Daphnia pulex: one gene and its partner. The protein of the gene in region 1 interacts with the protein of each later gene in a biochemical or structural test. Links are inferred from orthologs where the notes say so. Each region holds a gene or a part of one and is shown on either strand. Other genes may lie near its edges.

The links. The genes of interacting proteins can lie anywhere in the genome.
Region 2: the proteins of cullin-5-like (region 1) and protein big brother-like form a complex in vitro, tested with the Homo sapiens proteins (4 studies listed by BioGRID). The link is inferred for Daphnia pulex from reciprocal best matches to the Homo sapiens genes CUL5 and CBFB.

What each region holds. Positions count from the first base shown.
Region 1 is NC_060021.1:666,187-673,723, reverse strand, and holds cullin-5-like, read left to right. Parts: upstream 1-2,921; 5' UTR 2,922-3,055; coding exon 3,056-3,076; intron 3,077-3,246; coding exon 3,247-3,456; intron 3,457-3,539; coding exon 3,540-3,728; intron 3,729-3,795; coding exon 3,796-3,937; intron 3,938-3,998; coding exon 3,999-4,213; intron 4,214-4,279; coding exon 4,280-4,373; intron 4,374-4,452; coding exon 4,453-4,583; intron 4,584-4,648; coding exon 4,649-4,816; intron 4,817-4,910; coding exon 4,911-5,060; intron 5,061-5,154; coding exon 5,155-5,279; intron 5,280-5,338; coding exon 5,339-5,469; intron 5,470-5,533; coding exon 5,534-5,706; intron 5,707-5,846; coding exon 5,847-6,008; intron 6,009-6,096; coding exon 6,097-6,215; intron 6,216-6,281; coding exon 6,282-6,405; intron 6,406-6,471; coding exon 6,472-6,666; 3' UTR 6,667-6,833; downstream 6,834-7,537. Other genes in the region: glycosyltransferase 25 family member-like, read right to left, coding at 1-63, 148-376, 854-1,047; sorting nexin-12-like, read right to left, coding at 7,020-7,125, 7,185-7,309, 7,374-7,469. UniProt on the Homo sapiens protein: Core component of multiple cullin-5-RING E3 ubiquitin-protein ligase complexes (ECS complexes, also named CRL5 complexes), which mediate the ubiquitination and subsequent proteasomal degradation of target proteins.
Region 2 is NC_060020.1:1,159,377-1,166,862, reverse strand, and holds the start of protein big brother-like, read right to left. Parts: upstream 4,748-7,486; 5' UTR 3,805-4,747; intron 3,031-3,804; 5' UTR 2,915-3,030; coding exon 2,720-2,914; intron 663-2,719; coding exon 576-662; intron 1-575. UniProt on the Homo sapiens protein: Forms the heterodimeric complex core-binding factor (CBF) with RUNX family proteins (RUNX1, RUNX2, and RUNX3).

The DNA of each region.
Region 1 (7,537 bases):
ATTCGTGTTGACCATAATCTTCAGCGTTTGGTTGTTTGTCAGGAAAACATCACAGTCGACAAACTATACAAACAAAGGGCGTGGACGTGTTAGTTATTATGTCCACTTTTAAATCCCTAAATATTTAGACGTGTTTTAACAATTTACCCAAACGAAATCGGCCCAAAGTTCTCGCCCTTTATCCAGGGCTTCTTCTCTTAAATTGATTATGTGTTTGAATCGCTCCTCGGTCCAATTGGTTGGGATTTTATCATCGACTGCGGAAGGGGAGGTAGTGGTCAATTCGTGATAAATGTGGTGGTAGGATTTTTCGACAGAAGAAACCCATTTGTTCATAATCTCCAGACTCTGATCTTGGTTCTGATCGCTCTTGATCCTGTTGGGGCAATGTTGACAAATCAACATCAAAAATTGTGTTATTAATTGACATTATTATATGAAATATGTGAGTCAGCGGTTTCATGCAACATTTTTTTGTTTGTATTACTAGTCCACCATGAAGGGTACACAGATAGAGGAAGCTTCCATTTATTTTTATAAACGCTGTGTGGGCAGTGTCATAGACAAAGGAAAGTTTTAGAGCAAATGTTTTAAATGACTTCCTTCACCAACGAAGCATTGATAAAAGTAATACGCCATGGTCTGGGCTTGGAAATTCTAGAAAGTTTAAGTAGGTCTTCCTACACACATGTACGGCCATCCACTTTCACCCAGAATAAAACAAGATCATCGCTGAGCAGTATAGAAAAAGCCACTCACCAACATTGTTAAAAAGAATGGACACAATTAAGAAACATTGGAACAAGAGGAAAAGATGGAGAGAAAAATTTTTGAAGAATAATCAACACTTTACCATAATGTCAATCTATTTTTGGGGTAGTCCAACTCTTCGAATAATTTTAAGAAATAGGGTAGGGTGTGAGCTTTGTTTCTGACGAGCAAAGTAACGAGAACAGTGGGATCATCGCGAAAGGTGGCCTGTGTGCAGCTTGCAAATAAAAAGACGCAAAGTCCCACTGTAATAAACTCCCCGATGGACGTTCTCATTCTCTTAAGGAAGCGAGCTGCCACGTTGACGCCACGAGTAAGAATGAAGTCGGGACTAGGACTCAAATGTTTCTCAAGGGTAGAGTGCACGAAATACGATCTATGTCTGATAAGGAATTTTACATCTGCTGCAACGATTTCCCCCCTCCGTCCACGTTTAGAAAAACTTTTTGACGCACCCCTCGAGACTGTCGACAACAGAAGACGGGAGTCTGGGACGATTTGTTTAGAAACAAAGAGTCCGCGCAATTTCTAATCATTCCGTCGTGTGAGCTTTTCCCCCATTTATACAACACGATATCAAGTGAAAGCAGCGGTTTACACGACTCTTACTCGACCAAGTTTAATTTTTGAAATTTATTAACTCTTGATCGTGAGTTTTCCCGATTTTGAATATATCAGAAATATCCACAAGATGATGTAGGAATGTTATAGAAATCGGAAACGAACTCTAGCGCCGTTTCTGTGCGACTTCTGCTGGCTTATGTGAACACATAGCGTAACACACACATATTAAAAAAGCCGGACGCTGACCGGGGCATCTGTCTCTGAGGAGAATATAAAAGAAAAAGAGAAATCTAAACATTGGAAAAGCTTCTCTAGTTCTCTTTACACGGTTCCAGCGTTTTCTGGAAAATTTGATGCGGGGGGTGGGAAAATCAAATAAGAGATAATTCGATTTTAAAAAAAATGCATTTCTCAAATAGTAGATTCCGATTTATTTAAGCGAAAACAAAAATTTTTGTTTATGACATGCGAGACGGGTGGATGATTCGACATGGTACGTTCTTGATTACAAAAATTTGCGGTTACATTCGTACTGGGCAATTCTGACTGCTCTTGGAAAGCCAGACATTATACAAGATTGACGCAATTCTTCTTTATAAGGTTTTTAAAAAAAAATGGAGAACGAGGCTTGAATACGGACGAAAATATCTTCAATGCTCATTTGCATTTTTGCTTTTAGCGATTGTCGAATAATGAAAACAAAATAGTCCGCGTAGTTTTATAGGATCTTGATAAGAACATCAGCAGCAGAAAAATTTAACTCTTCTGATGTAGTACTCATCGGCGTTTTCTTTTGATATGTAATGTTAACATTTTTGTTTTGGAAATCATTTTTGTAAGGTCATATCGAGATTAAGCCTTGGAAAGAGGAAAAACAACTATTTATAGAGATTGAGTAGCCTGCAGCAAGCAATTGAAAGGGAGTGCGGAAATTGACTGTTTTGTTTGCGTACTATCAAAGCAGCTTGTGATCAAAGTAACCTTGATACGTGCGTATAATAATAATGTTGAATGCCACATCAATTATCACATTCACTACCAGTTGCAGTTTAATTATAAGCTGTAGCCGGTCCTGCAAGTATACTTGGCCAAATGCGTCTCACGTACGCTTTTATCATGAGTAAACGAGGAAATAACGTGAAGTGGAAGAACAGACGGGGATAGCCTGGGAACTGGGATAGTAGCCATAACATATTAATGTAGCATTGACGCAACAGCCATGATGAGCTGCCCACCATCTACTGGTTGCAAGAGTACTTACTAAATGTTGGATAAATATGAGAGACACATTTTAGCCACAGATAAATTCCTCGATCCATCCGGATAGATGATAGATAAGACTCAGATCTCAACGAAATTAATATAAATTCGAAATCTTTAACTACGAGACATAATAAAAAGTCAGCGACAAAATTTTTACTAATTAGTTTTAAATACTTGTGTCGCTTATGTTCTTGATTCACTAGTCAGTGGTCGTTACCACACAAATAGATGAAGAATCAAACAAAGCAATAAATCCAAGCCCGTTTCTATGCGCTCATTGGCGCTCGTTAAAAAATCAAAATTCAAAAAGGTCATGGCAGATGTCGTGGCAAGACGGGGCTTCAGTCCGGTATTCCGATTAACCGGTTAACTTCGACAGCCTACTGGTAGAGTGTGTGTGTGAGCCGATGTTAAGAACAGGAGCACTGAAAAACGGCTAGACCATCAAGAAATAGAAATGGCAGCATCAATGTGGAAGGTAAATAAAGAACTAGTAAATGTTTTTATTTGTTATGAGAAAGAAATATCAAGTCTTTAGATTATGCACTTGCAAGTAGTGTCATGATTCATAACCTCATCAACAAATTCGTCGATCGAAATATATCGCATCAACATTAACCAATTAAAATATGTTTTCTTACTTTTAAGGATAAAGGACAATTGGTATTTGAAGAACAATGGCCTCTTATGAGACCAACAATTTTGAAACTGTTACGTCAAGAGCCTGTTAGTCGAGCTGAATGGCATGAACTGTTTTGGTCTGTACACATGGTGTGTTTGTGGGATGAAAAATCACATGCCAAAATGTACAAGGCATTGCAGGATGATATTCTGGAATTCATCAAGCAAGCACAGACAGTAAGTTACATATTCCTGTTGCAATCGGTGTAAATGATTAAAATAATTGAGATGCATCTATTAATCCTCTTTGTTTATATCAGAGAGTACTAACTCATGAAGAAGACCAGTCACTGTTGAGGGCTTACATCAGTGAATGGCGTAAATTTTTTACCCAGTGCTCATATTTGCCCATGCCTTTCTTCCAGCTTGAAACTGCACTTCAAGGTAAAACACACAACTCAATACAGAAAAAGCCCCAGCAAAACACTGATGACAGTCTAGTCAGAAAGGTAAACAATAAATACATTTTTAATGAATAACTTGTTTTTTGATAAATATTTTGTTTCTGTGTTTTAGCTAATGTTGGATTCCTGGAACTTTAGTATTTTCTCCAACATTAAAAACCGATTACAAGACTCAGCAATGAAATTAGTCCATGCTGAAAGAAATGGAGAAGCCTTTGACTCACAGTTGGTCATTGGAGTGAGAGAGTCCTATGGTAAAACATTTCTATGGCAAGATATTGTTTCAACTGCTTAATATTTACTTACTTCCTGCAGTTAACCTTTGTTCAAATTCTGAAGATAAGTTGACCATTTATATGGATAACTTTGAGAGGGCTTATATAGATTCCACCGAAGCTTTTTACAAGTTGAAAGCTCCTCAATATTTGGAAATCAATGGTGTTCAGAATTACATGAGATACGCAGAATCGAAACTACGCGAAGAGGAGCAGCGAGCCAATAAATATCTAGAATCGTGTTCCATTGCTACTGTACTAATGGCTTTTTATTACTTATTTTAAGATTTGGTTATAATTTTTTTAAATCTTTCTTTCAAGCTTAACGGATGTTGCGTAAATGTCTTGGTGACAGCCTTCAAGGAAACCATTCTAGCTGAATGTTCTTCTATGATTAAGCAAGACGAAACTCAAAGTATGTTTACCACATTTAATATTGAAAATTTACAGTGTCGTAGGTGGAGTTTGAGTAACATTTAAATTTTTAATCACAGAATTGCGTATGATGTTCCGGTTGATGGATCGAGTCTCCGATGGAATTGCACCTATGCTAAAATATTTAGAAGATCACATTATTCACGCAGGATTGGCGGATATGATGGTGGCAGCTGAATTAATTACTCAAGTACATTGATAGACTAGTGTTAATGTCTTCATGACTCATTCATAATTTTTTAATGCTATTGGTAGGATTCTGAAAAATATGTGGAACGACTTTTGACACTGTTCAATCAGTTTAGCCTCTTGGTTAAGGAAGCTTTCGACGATGACCCGCGGTTCCTTACTGCTCGTGATAAAGCTTATAAACATGTTGTGAATGATACTTCAGTCTTTCGATTAGATTTACCCACTCGATTGGTAATTTCCTGTTTCTGTTTACCTTTGCTTTATGCCAAAAAAATTTTTCCGTTGACATTAAACTAACACTTTAAAATTAAAATTGTGTTTTCAGCAAGGACCTGGCTCCAGTGGAGGAGTCAAAACCCAACCTGAATCTCGTTGCCCAGAGCTGCTAGCTAATTTCTGTGACATGCTTCTGCGTAAGACACCTTTAAGCAAAAAACTCACTTCCGATGAAATTGAAAGCAAACTAAAGGATGTGGTAAGATAAAAAAAAGTTGGTGTTGTCACGCTAGCATAGTAATGTTTTCGTTTGATTAAATAATTATTCATATGCTTCATTTGTTGCCATTTAGCTACTTGTTCTGAAATACGTTCAAAACAAAGATGTGTTCATGCGGTTCCACAAAGCGCATTTAACTAGAAGATTGATCTTGGACACCTCAGCTGACAGCGAAAAAGAAGAAAACATGGTTGAATGGTACACTAACTAATTTTTACGTTCATTTTGCATTTTTTACAATTATTTTCATGAAAAAGGTTGAGAGAAGTTGGCATGCCAGCCGACTATGTTCACAAGCTTGCCCGTATGTTCCAAGATATCAAGATCAGCGAAGACTTGAATCAACAATTCAAAGAGGAATATAGGAAGACCAAAGGAAGCATTGCTGGTAATACCTCATAGAAAGGGCGCATAAGTTAACATAAAGATTAATTTTTTTAAACGATTACCAGACTCGATTAACATTAAAATCCTGAATGCTGGAGCTTGGGCTCGTGGATCTGACCGAGTGACAGTGTCGTTGCCGTTGGAGTTAGAAGACTACATACCAGAAGTGGAAGATTTCTACAGGAAAAAGCATAGTGGACGAAAACTTCAGTGGCATCATCATATGTCAAATGGAACTGTGAGTCTTCCTTATAATTTATAAATTATTTAAAATTCTTCACATCCAGATCTTTGGAAGAAATAATCAATCACCGAATATGTGATTATCGTTACTTAATACCGAGTGCAGCCGATTCTAAACCTTGTATTTCATTTTAGATTCAGTTTGCCAATTCAGTTGGAAGATTTGATCTGGATGTTACAACATTTCAAATGGCTGTCCTATTTGCGTGGAACGAACGACCGAAAGAAAAAATTTCTCTTGAAAACTTGCGTTTAGCAACTGAGTTGCCTGATGCGGAACTTCGACGAACTCTTGGGGTATACAAATGTTTTAAAATTGTTTACAAATGTTTAGAATTGGAATAATTATTCACATTTGATTTTATGGAATGACATGGTTTTTCAGTCTTTGGTGGCTTTTCCAAAACTGAAACGACAGTTGTTAATATGCCAACCGGAAGTCCAATCCGCAAGAGATTTCACTGAAAACTCTATTTTTTCTGTCAATCAAGACTTCAGTCTAATGTACGTCTTTTTTTAAATCGTAGTTTATATTAATTAAAAAATTAAATCTATATGTTTCAATCGCAGAAAAAATGGAAAAGTTCAAAAGCGGGGTAAGATTAATTTAATTGGTCGTCTCCAGCTGTCTACCGAGAAAAGTAAAGAAGAAGAAAACGAAGGCATTGTACAGTTGCGCATTTTGCGCACTCAGGTATAAAAGAATTTCAACAAAATTTAGTATCGTTAACCTTATAAATTTGGTCATTTACGTTTTCAGGAGGCTATAGTCAAAATTCTGAAAATGAGGAAACAGATTAGCAATGCCCAGTTGCAAACTGAGCTTGTTGAAATTTTGAAGAATCTTTTCATCCCCTCGAAGAAAATGATAAAAGAACAAGTGGAGTGGCTGATAGAACATCGTTACATGAAACGTTCTGAAAAGGATATTAATACCTTTATTTATCTAGCCTAATAATAACAATATTACTGAAACTGTACAGTTGAATCTAATTAAGTTTCATATGTACATCTTTCTTCTCTTTTGCAATTTCTCTTAACTCCTTACTTATTCCTTGGTCAAGCCAAAATCCTGTCGTGTAAATATTTTCGATAAAAATAAAATTGCGATCGGCGATGTCATGATGCAGTGTAATCGCGTTGACGGAACAATTCAGATCTTCACAATTTTATAGCACTGACAGTTTTAAAGACGCTACGAATGTATTCACGATAAATTCATTATAACCAACAGAAGGGAAAGAGGATGTTAAAGAGAAACAGGTAATGAAGGAATGAGTGACAACTTTCATCTGGTATAACCACAAGTTAGTTAGGTCGGATCTTGCCTGGTACATAGTTCTTATCAATCACTGGCTCTTGGAGAAACATATGGAGGCAGCGTTCATTCTGTGCTAGCGGATGTCCTGCAATTCTGTAAATTATTTGAGTAAGTTTAGGTTGTGATGCTTGAATGTTAATATAGAAACACACTTGTTCACAAATCCTTCAAGAGATTTACGCCTGTCTTCAATGAATTCTTCATCATAGATACCATCATCATTTCTAAATGGGAGCTGGCGTTTGATTGCTTTTCCAGGTAGAGGTGGAACCACAATCTGAAAAAAAAAATTTGAACCGGTATTAAAATCCATAATCTCTTCCTTATGTCAAGATTCATACTTTGCTGTCTCTCTCAAGCTCACTTCTTAACCACTCAAAGTCTGAGTACCTTCGCCTCACACTGGACTCTTTGATCTTAAAAACAGGCAAATTTGTCTGGGAAAAATAATGGTCAACATTGATTACACACAACTTTAACAACATTGCAAAAGAAAAAAGGCACG
Region 2 (7,486 bases), on another chromosome or scaffold:
GTTATTTTCTTCCGGACACATCCGTTAGTTCTCTCTTTTTTGAGACTCTTGGCTCTCTGCGCTGGATGGATGGAACTGGTGGTGGTGGTGGGGTGGATCTTATATTGATCGGGCAGCAGTTCTTTTCCTTTTTTTCGCCCTTCTGCGCTGCTGTCATCGCGTCTATTTAGTCGAGTCTTAACTGTGATCTCTCTCTCTCTTGTTGGCTTCTTCCCCTCTCTCTCCTTTCCGCCTATTGGCTACCGCTGCCAACACACATCCACTCCCCACCACTCCTTCAAGGAGAGATCCTACTCCACTGCTGAGGGGAGCCAAATCCCCCCCGAGACGTTTGCTCCCACCGACGTCGTCGTCGTCGTCTTCCGATGAGTTTGAGCCAGGGCGGCGGCCAAACAGCTCGTTAGCGTCTCATCAATTTCATGTCACACACACACAAAACGTAATAGAGCCTCTCTCTCCCTAGCTCTATCCACTTGGCCGTCTCTCTTACACACGCAACGGAGGCAACACACAACTTTTTAGACGGCCTTAGTTTTTTTTAAGATTCAAAATTGCAGTAGTTAAGTCAAACTCACGATTTCAGCGTGTCCTTCTCGACATCCGGCCGCAAATCTCATCTGGCGCTCCTCCAACGGCCGGTCCCGAAATCCAACGTATCTCACCTGTAATAATTCAAATGAAAACGAATTAAATTAAAAACAGAAAATAAATGTTTGATTGAAAAATCATTGGGTCCCAACAAAGGGACGTGTAAACGTCAAACAAGCCCCACCGCAATAATCATCTGATAGTAATATAACGGCCAAACATCTCGATTTTCTCGTCGCATCGTTATAACAACTGCATTTGATCATCCGAGTCTTTCTTCTTCATCTTTTTCCCCCCGCCAGTGTTGCGGCCAACCACCAACCACACGCCAATGACCATACAACAACAACAACAACAGTTATTTGGTGGCTGTATATGTACGGCCCGGCAAATATGGAGAAAGTTTTCCCTTTTTTCTTCAGTTTTTTTTTAACAGTTGTGGAACGCCGATTTAAGTTTTTAAATGACCAACAAAAACATTCATCCCCTCTACGGAAAACCTACAAGAGGCGCCCAAGAGTCGTATATATATATATATGAGTTAGGAGTCAGAGAGTCCAGCCATAGATCAATTGAGCCATTACCCCAGCGTAGTATCCAGCAGTCCTTGTATGCGAAAAAGTTAGAAGATATATACCCGTCGGGGGGTAAAAGACTGTCGTTTATATATATTTGCTTTTCATCTTTTTATATTTTTGGGGGCCATTATTTTATTATTTTCGACCGTGTTTTATTGTTGTCCACCAGGAGATGGATTCGTTGGCTGTCTGCACTTTTAACAGCCAATAAGTCCGTCTCTTCTCTCTCAACGACGCGCTGGACACAGCCAGCCACCGTAAATAGCCTATTATCAATAGGCGAGACCGAGATGTCAATAATAAAAATGGAGAAACACTCTTTTCGGGGCCGGCAGCAAACAATTGAAGACGAAATATTCAATAGGACGATTTTTTGGCCAACATTTTGACTCGAACAAGACGTAGTGATCGGTTATGTGTGTTGAATGGCCCCGGTGGTGTGTGGTGACATTTCTCTCTTGTGTCCGTCTGTGGATGTAGAGACGTCCCGCTGGCCCAGATGATAACGCGAAATGAAGAGCCCAGCCGACGACGACAACTATTTTAAAAGGAGGGCGATTGTGCACAGCGGGGAAATGTGGGCAGGTCAGCCTTTTTCTCTTCTTCTTTCTAAATTTCTTTGCCACTGGTGTTGGACCGAGTGGCAAGTTCTTTTCTTGACGCCCGTCCTTCCTGTAGCCGGCCAGACATTTCCTCTATACCTGATCATATAGCCCCAGCCTTTTTTTTTTACTATTTCTATCAAATAGATTTTTTTAAAAGAAAATCCCCGCCGAGTTAACTTTCTCACACACAGCCCCAGAAAAAAAAAGAACTTTTTTTATTTTTCATTTTCTTCTCGGCCAGCAGCAGCAGCGGGAGGTTGTGCCGTGTTGTTGGTTTTTCTTTTTCTTGGCCCAGCAGCACCGGCCGTTGCAGACAATAACACATTGGTGAGAGTTGCCCAGCCATCCGTGGATCAATATAATATATATAATACAACATAATGACTTTTCCCTTAGAAGCTACATACGGAGATGTGTATAAAGCCAACTACAGCCACTTGGCCTTCTCATATCTTTTGAGACTTGGCTATTATAACGCCTCTCTCTCTCTCGACTGGAATGTGTCTCGACAAAAAATATATAAAACATAATATAAAAAAGGAGATAGCGAATTGACGGGTGAACGGGCCGTTGAGCAGGAGGATCGCGTCGATATAGAGAGTCGAGCGTGAAGAAGCCTATATACACGTTAGATTAGCTCGAGATATCTCTTGTCATATTTGTGTATAAATATAAATACATGATTATAGAGAGAGTGTATTCCATCCGGCTCTCTAGGACTCTACTACTATCTCTATAGACAGTAGATCGAATTTGATATTGGCAAAAACAACCAAATAAAAACTGTCGACTGCGGCTAACAGTCAGAAACCGCAATGAGACGCTCTTCTGGCCCACTACAACCAATTCAATTCCGACGGCCCAAAAGCCGAACCCCAAAAATGTGATTGTTAATATTTGAGCAGGCCAGCGACGGCGGCCTATATAGATTGGCCGTCAAGATCTTACCTCGGATTCTCGGCTGAGCCGACGGAAGAGCTCGTCGGATTCGAATCGGCCCTTCTGGTCGGGAATGACGCGCGGCACTCTGTACATGAGACTGGGCTTGGTCTGCTCGTAGAGGCCCATCCCGCCCATGGAGTCGTAGGGCAGCATGCTGGACAAGAGATGCTGGGCAGCCGTTTGGTTCATTCCCTTGTACATTTTTGTCGAATTTAAATGGAACGCGCCCAGATGATGATGCCAAAGTCCCAAAATCACAAATTCACTTTCTTTCTTCTATTTTCGAATGAACCGACGGCACACCAAAAGTTTCCAGCCTGAAAATATTTTCAAAATAAAAATTGAATTTAGAATTTGATATAAGAAAATATTAATTGAATCAAAAGAAAGAAACAGTTCGATATGTTGAATAAATTGTGTGGCTACTGGTGACCAGCCAGGAGCTATCATTGAAACCGGTTTGAATTTTTGTTGTTTTTTTTCTATTCAAAATATTTTTTGGTTGGGGGGATTTCATCCTGGGTTGTTGTTTGATTTTTTTCGAAAAAACCAAAAAACCAAAAGGGAGAGATTGTTTCTGTTGATTGGTGGTGTTGATTAAGCGGCTGTCGAGCCGTTTGCCCATCAGCGCACGAGTTCCATGTTACACATTATATAAGCCGGGCGAGGAGGAGGAGGAGGAAATGCTCTCTCCTCTTTTGTTATGATGTATCAAAACGACGACGGTCTTTTAGATTAGTTTCTCGGTGACAAAAAACCCCAGCAAACAGCATTTCTAGAAGACTCTTCTTTTTCTTTTTCCAACAACAGGATTAGATTTTCGGCTGTATACAATATAACCGATGACGAGAAATTGGCAATGACTGATCGCCATCTCATTTACGTACACCGGCTGAGAGCTCTGGCTGTTGGTCAATGGTCAGCCAAGACCAAAGCATTGCGAATCAACATAATCTAACTTATTGGACATCTGTCAAATGACGCAATTTATACAGTTGATGAGCTACACCACCTATACCGAGTTCATTTTTCTTCTATAATTGAATCAATCGAAGATTTTTCGAGAGCTAAATAAATGTTGTTTCACTTACCGCTTCAAAGATATATTGATAAGTGGTGGGGGATGTTGTACGTGGATGTTGTTGGCGTCTAAAAGGTCCAATTCGGCTCGCACGGCTGAGCCGATTGAAGGTGAATGCTGCGGTTAGAAATAACCAAGAAAAAAACAACACACACACACACACAGACACACGCACTGAGACTGAGGGACACTGGAGAGTATGGCGATGTGATGGTGCGGGAGCGCGCGCACAGGTGTCCCAGCACAGCCGACCGACGTCACCAACAACAGCAGTCGTCTTCTTTTTTTCTATTCACTCACGACACGGCGCGTGTGTGTCGCACTTGCGTCAATAAATGAACGACCAGAATTTACAAAACCCAAAAAGTTTCAAATCAAATCAAATCAAATTTTGGGAGGATGAAATCGACACTTGATGACGCGCACTGCGAGTTGTGTTTGAAACAATCAAAGGTACAAGTAGTAGTTGTTGTTGTTGTTCAATGTGAAACCATGTCCGCTGGGCCACTAGCTGCTGCTGCTGGACTGGTTGAGTCAGTGATGTCCTTCTGGTTGGAGGCCGGAGCAACGACTGAAGAACTACTGCGGTCTGTATGTAGGCAAAACTCTTTTTCCCTTTTTCTTTACACCCACCAAGAGGTTCTCCCAACTTCTCTCTTGGCTAGTGTGTGTAGTGTATAGCCTTGTGTGTGTAAAGAAAAGAATTGTGTGTGTAGTAGTTCTAATCCGCCGTCGGCAACGCTCAGAGCTCGACTGTTTTCCCAACTAGCGCCGCCATGATTTGGTGTCTACACACAACACACATCGACTCGATGCGGCCGGGCCGGGCTATTGTGTTGGATGGGATGGCTATTCGGGCCGGCTCTTCTCCCAGTCTATAGTAGTAGTGGCGATGGTGGTGTCTAGTGGCGGTGGTAAAGGTCCAGTCCAGTCGCTGCCCAGAGAGAAGAGAAGAATCAAAGGCAAAAGAAGAAGAGAAAAGAAGAAAAGGGCAGATTGAAATGAAGAGGAAGGAAATGATTGGTCGATGGGCCGGGCTATCTAGGGCAAAGCAGAAAGAGAAGGGGCTGGACTTGTGAGACGTGACTGCGCCCACTTATTCCCGCTTGCAATGGCCCGTCCTATCGTTCACCAAAGCCGAGGGTGTGGTGATCTCCGCCAGTGGGAGGAAACCAACAACAAACGGCGACTTTTCCTTCTTCTATTTGAAACAGCAGCAACGGACGAGAGTGAGATGGATATGCCAGTCCTGTGTGTGTCAACTGGCTGGGCCAGCCACATATAGCCACAGCCAAGAAACCGTCAGTCGGTTAGACACACATACATACAACAACTGTAGTGCTGCTGCTGCTGCTGTTATGCATGGCCAGCCTTCTTTTCGGCTGCGCTGTCTGTGCTGGCCTGGCCTGGCCCTTTTTCTCTCTGATGGATGATCCGGTGTCAAGACCAGTAGCCATGACGGAAAAGGGGAGGAGCTCCTCCACTACTCGTTACATGCCCTCGCCCTTTTATTTTCTCCACCAGATAGATATGAAACAACACAAACAGCTGAATGTTAACCAATGTATTTCTCTTGATATAGATTGCTGCTCGCCAACGTACATCACCAGCCCTGATGCTGGCCATATCTTTTCCTTTCATCAACCCGTCCAACCGAATGTATTGAACAGACATTGATCTTTTATATTTATACTTATTCTTCATTGCAACAACAATTTTATTTTTTGGGGAAAGACAAAAAGAAAACCTTGTAACAACAGACCGGAAATGCGTAAGACGAGGTTTGGCCTATAAACAGCTCGAACCGTTCATGTGTGTTTTCCCTCGCCCGCCGGTTTTTATAACTGAAAAAAAAAAAAGTTACACCACCCAAATTTCCAATTTTAAAAAGAAAAGGCCCATTGCACACACAAGAAAAAACAACAGTAGCAGGCCAGCCTTCTTATTTTGATAATAAAGACTCTGGCTGCGACGTACGCCATCAGCCAAAATGGGGAAAATTCATTTTTTGTTTTTTCTTTTTTTTTTAATTTTGAAAAAATAATGACGACAAAGTTGATGTGTCGCTGTAATGATCTAGCCCCCCTTCTTCCATCACAGTACACAAGGCCAAAGGAGTAATATATATAGGAGTAGATTTCATTTTGTTTCCCATCAAGGAGCCGAGCAGCAGCTGTTTCGGGTGTATAGTGGTGCTGGCTGGGTTGATTGCAGATGAGACAAAACAACAAGACCATCAAAAACGTTTTTCGGTGGGCGACGATTAGCACTTGGCCGCTAGAAAACTGTCGCTAAACTCTCCTGCTGCTCTGTGCTCTGCTGTTTGGGGGTCCCCTATACACACTCCTCCTTCTTCTTCGACATGCATAAATGAGTAGATTGTCGACTCTGTCAGTGACGATAGATAATTGACACTCTCGCCGAGAAAAAGGGCCCACCCACACGCTCGGCTTCTTCCCACATGAACCCCCCATAGCATAGCATAGCATCTGTGTACGTATTATACGTGTACGGAGTTAGCACAACGTAGGTATATATTCTACTAGCACTTAGCGTTCGTCTTTTTCCTTCCACCTCTGCAATAAAACACGTCGCATTTAATAAGAAATGAACTTGATAGTCTCCCTGTTTGGGGCGTGCCGGGGTGATGATACAGAGCCACCATCACTTCTTCTATCTCGTCGATATTTTAGTTTATTCCTTTCGATCTAATAAGAATGACGTGATTCGGTAATAAGGAAAAATAACTAGACGAGGAAGTGATGAGGGACGTAGAGGAGCATTGGATTTATAGGCCCCGCACCATTGATGCAATTGTGTGTATACCCGTGGCATTTGTGTATGACGAAGGGGCTTGTATGATGTGTACGAACCCCAGGTGGCGACAGCTGACCCTTTTCTCATATCGGCCCGATGTATTTATGATGGGGCTAGATCCTTTTTTATTCCTTTTTTCTTATTTCACAATTTCAAATGTAAACCTCACTCCCTCCCCCCCACCTCACCCCCACCATCGCGTGTGTTAGCCTTTTTTGACGTCATCCACACGGTTCAATGCGTCCACTTTTGGATTATATTCCACCTGTTTCTTCTATTGGTTCAACTAAAAAATATGGAGAGCTCGGATTATTATTAAACTTATCCGAATTTTATCCAGGCAAAGTTGTGTCAACTGTTGTCGTTTTGTTTGCTCATTAAAAAAGGCACTCGTCCGTTTCTCCCCCCTTTTTATTACGTGTGTCTCATTTGAAATTTCATTATTACGTCAAACAGACGCGGAGGAGGAGAACGAACGAAAGTTTTTCTCGTGAAAAGCCTGCGGCATATCCGGCCGCCCAGCAGCGGGCGGTCGAGAGCCTGGGATGTTGTTCAAACACATTCGCTTGTTCATAACACATGCGGCACAGCAGCGGACATTTCAACATGTTTTTTAATCATAACTGCGCTAATGTTTTGTGTATGTGTGTGTGTATAGCCTCTTATATGAACGGGAGCTTGAACTATATATGTGTGTATCCTCATCCAGCTGATTACATATCCATTTTTATCCGGCCCTCTACACACATCCTGTCTAGCTCTCTCTCTCTCCACGCAGTTGAGTAGAGTTCTAGACACACACACACAGAACGGGCACGGCCGGTAGAGCACACACAGGAAACGAACTAGTCGACTTTTCTCGAATGTGTTTTATC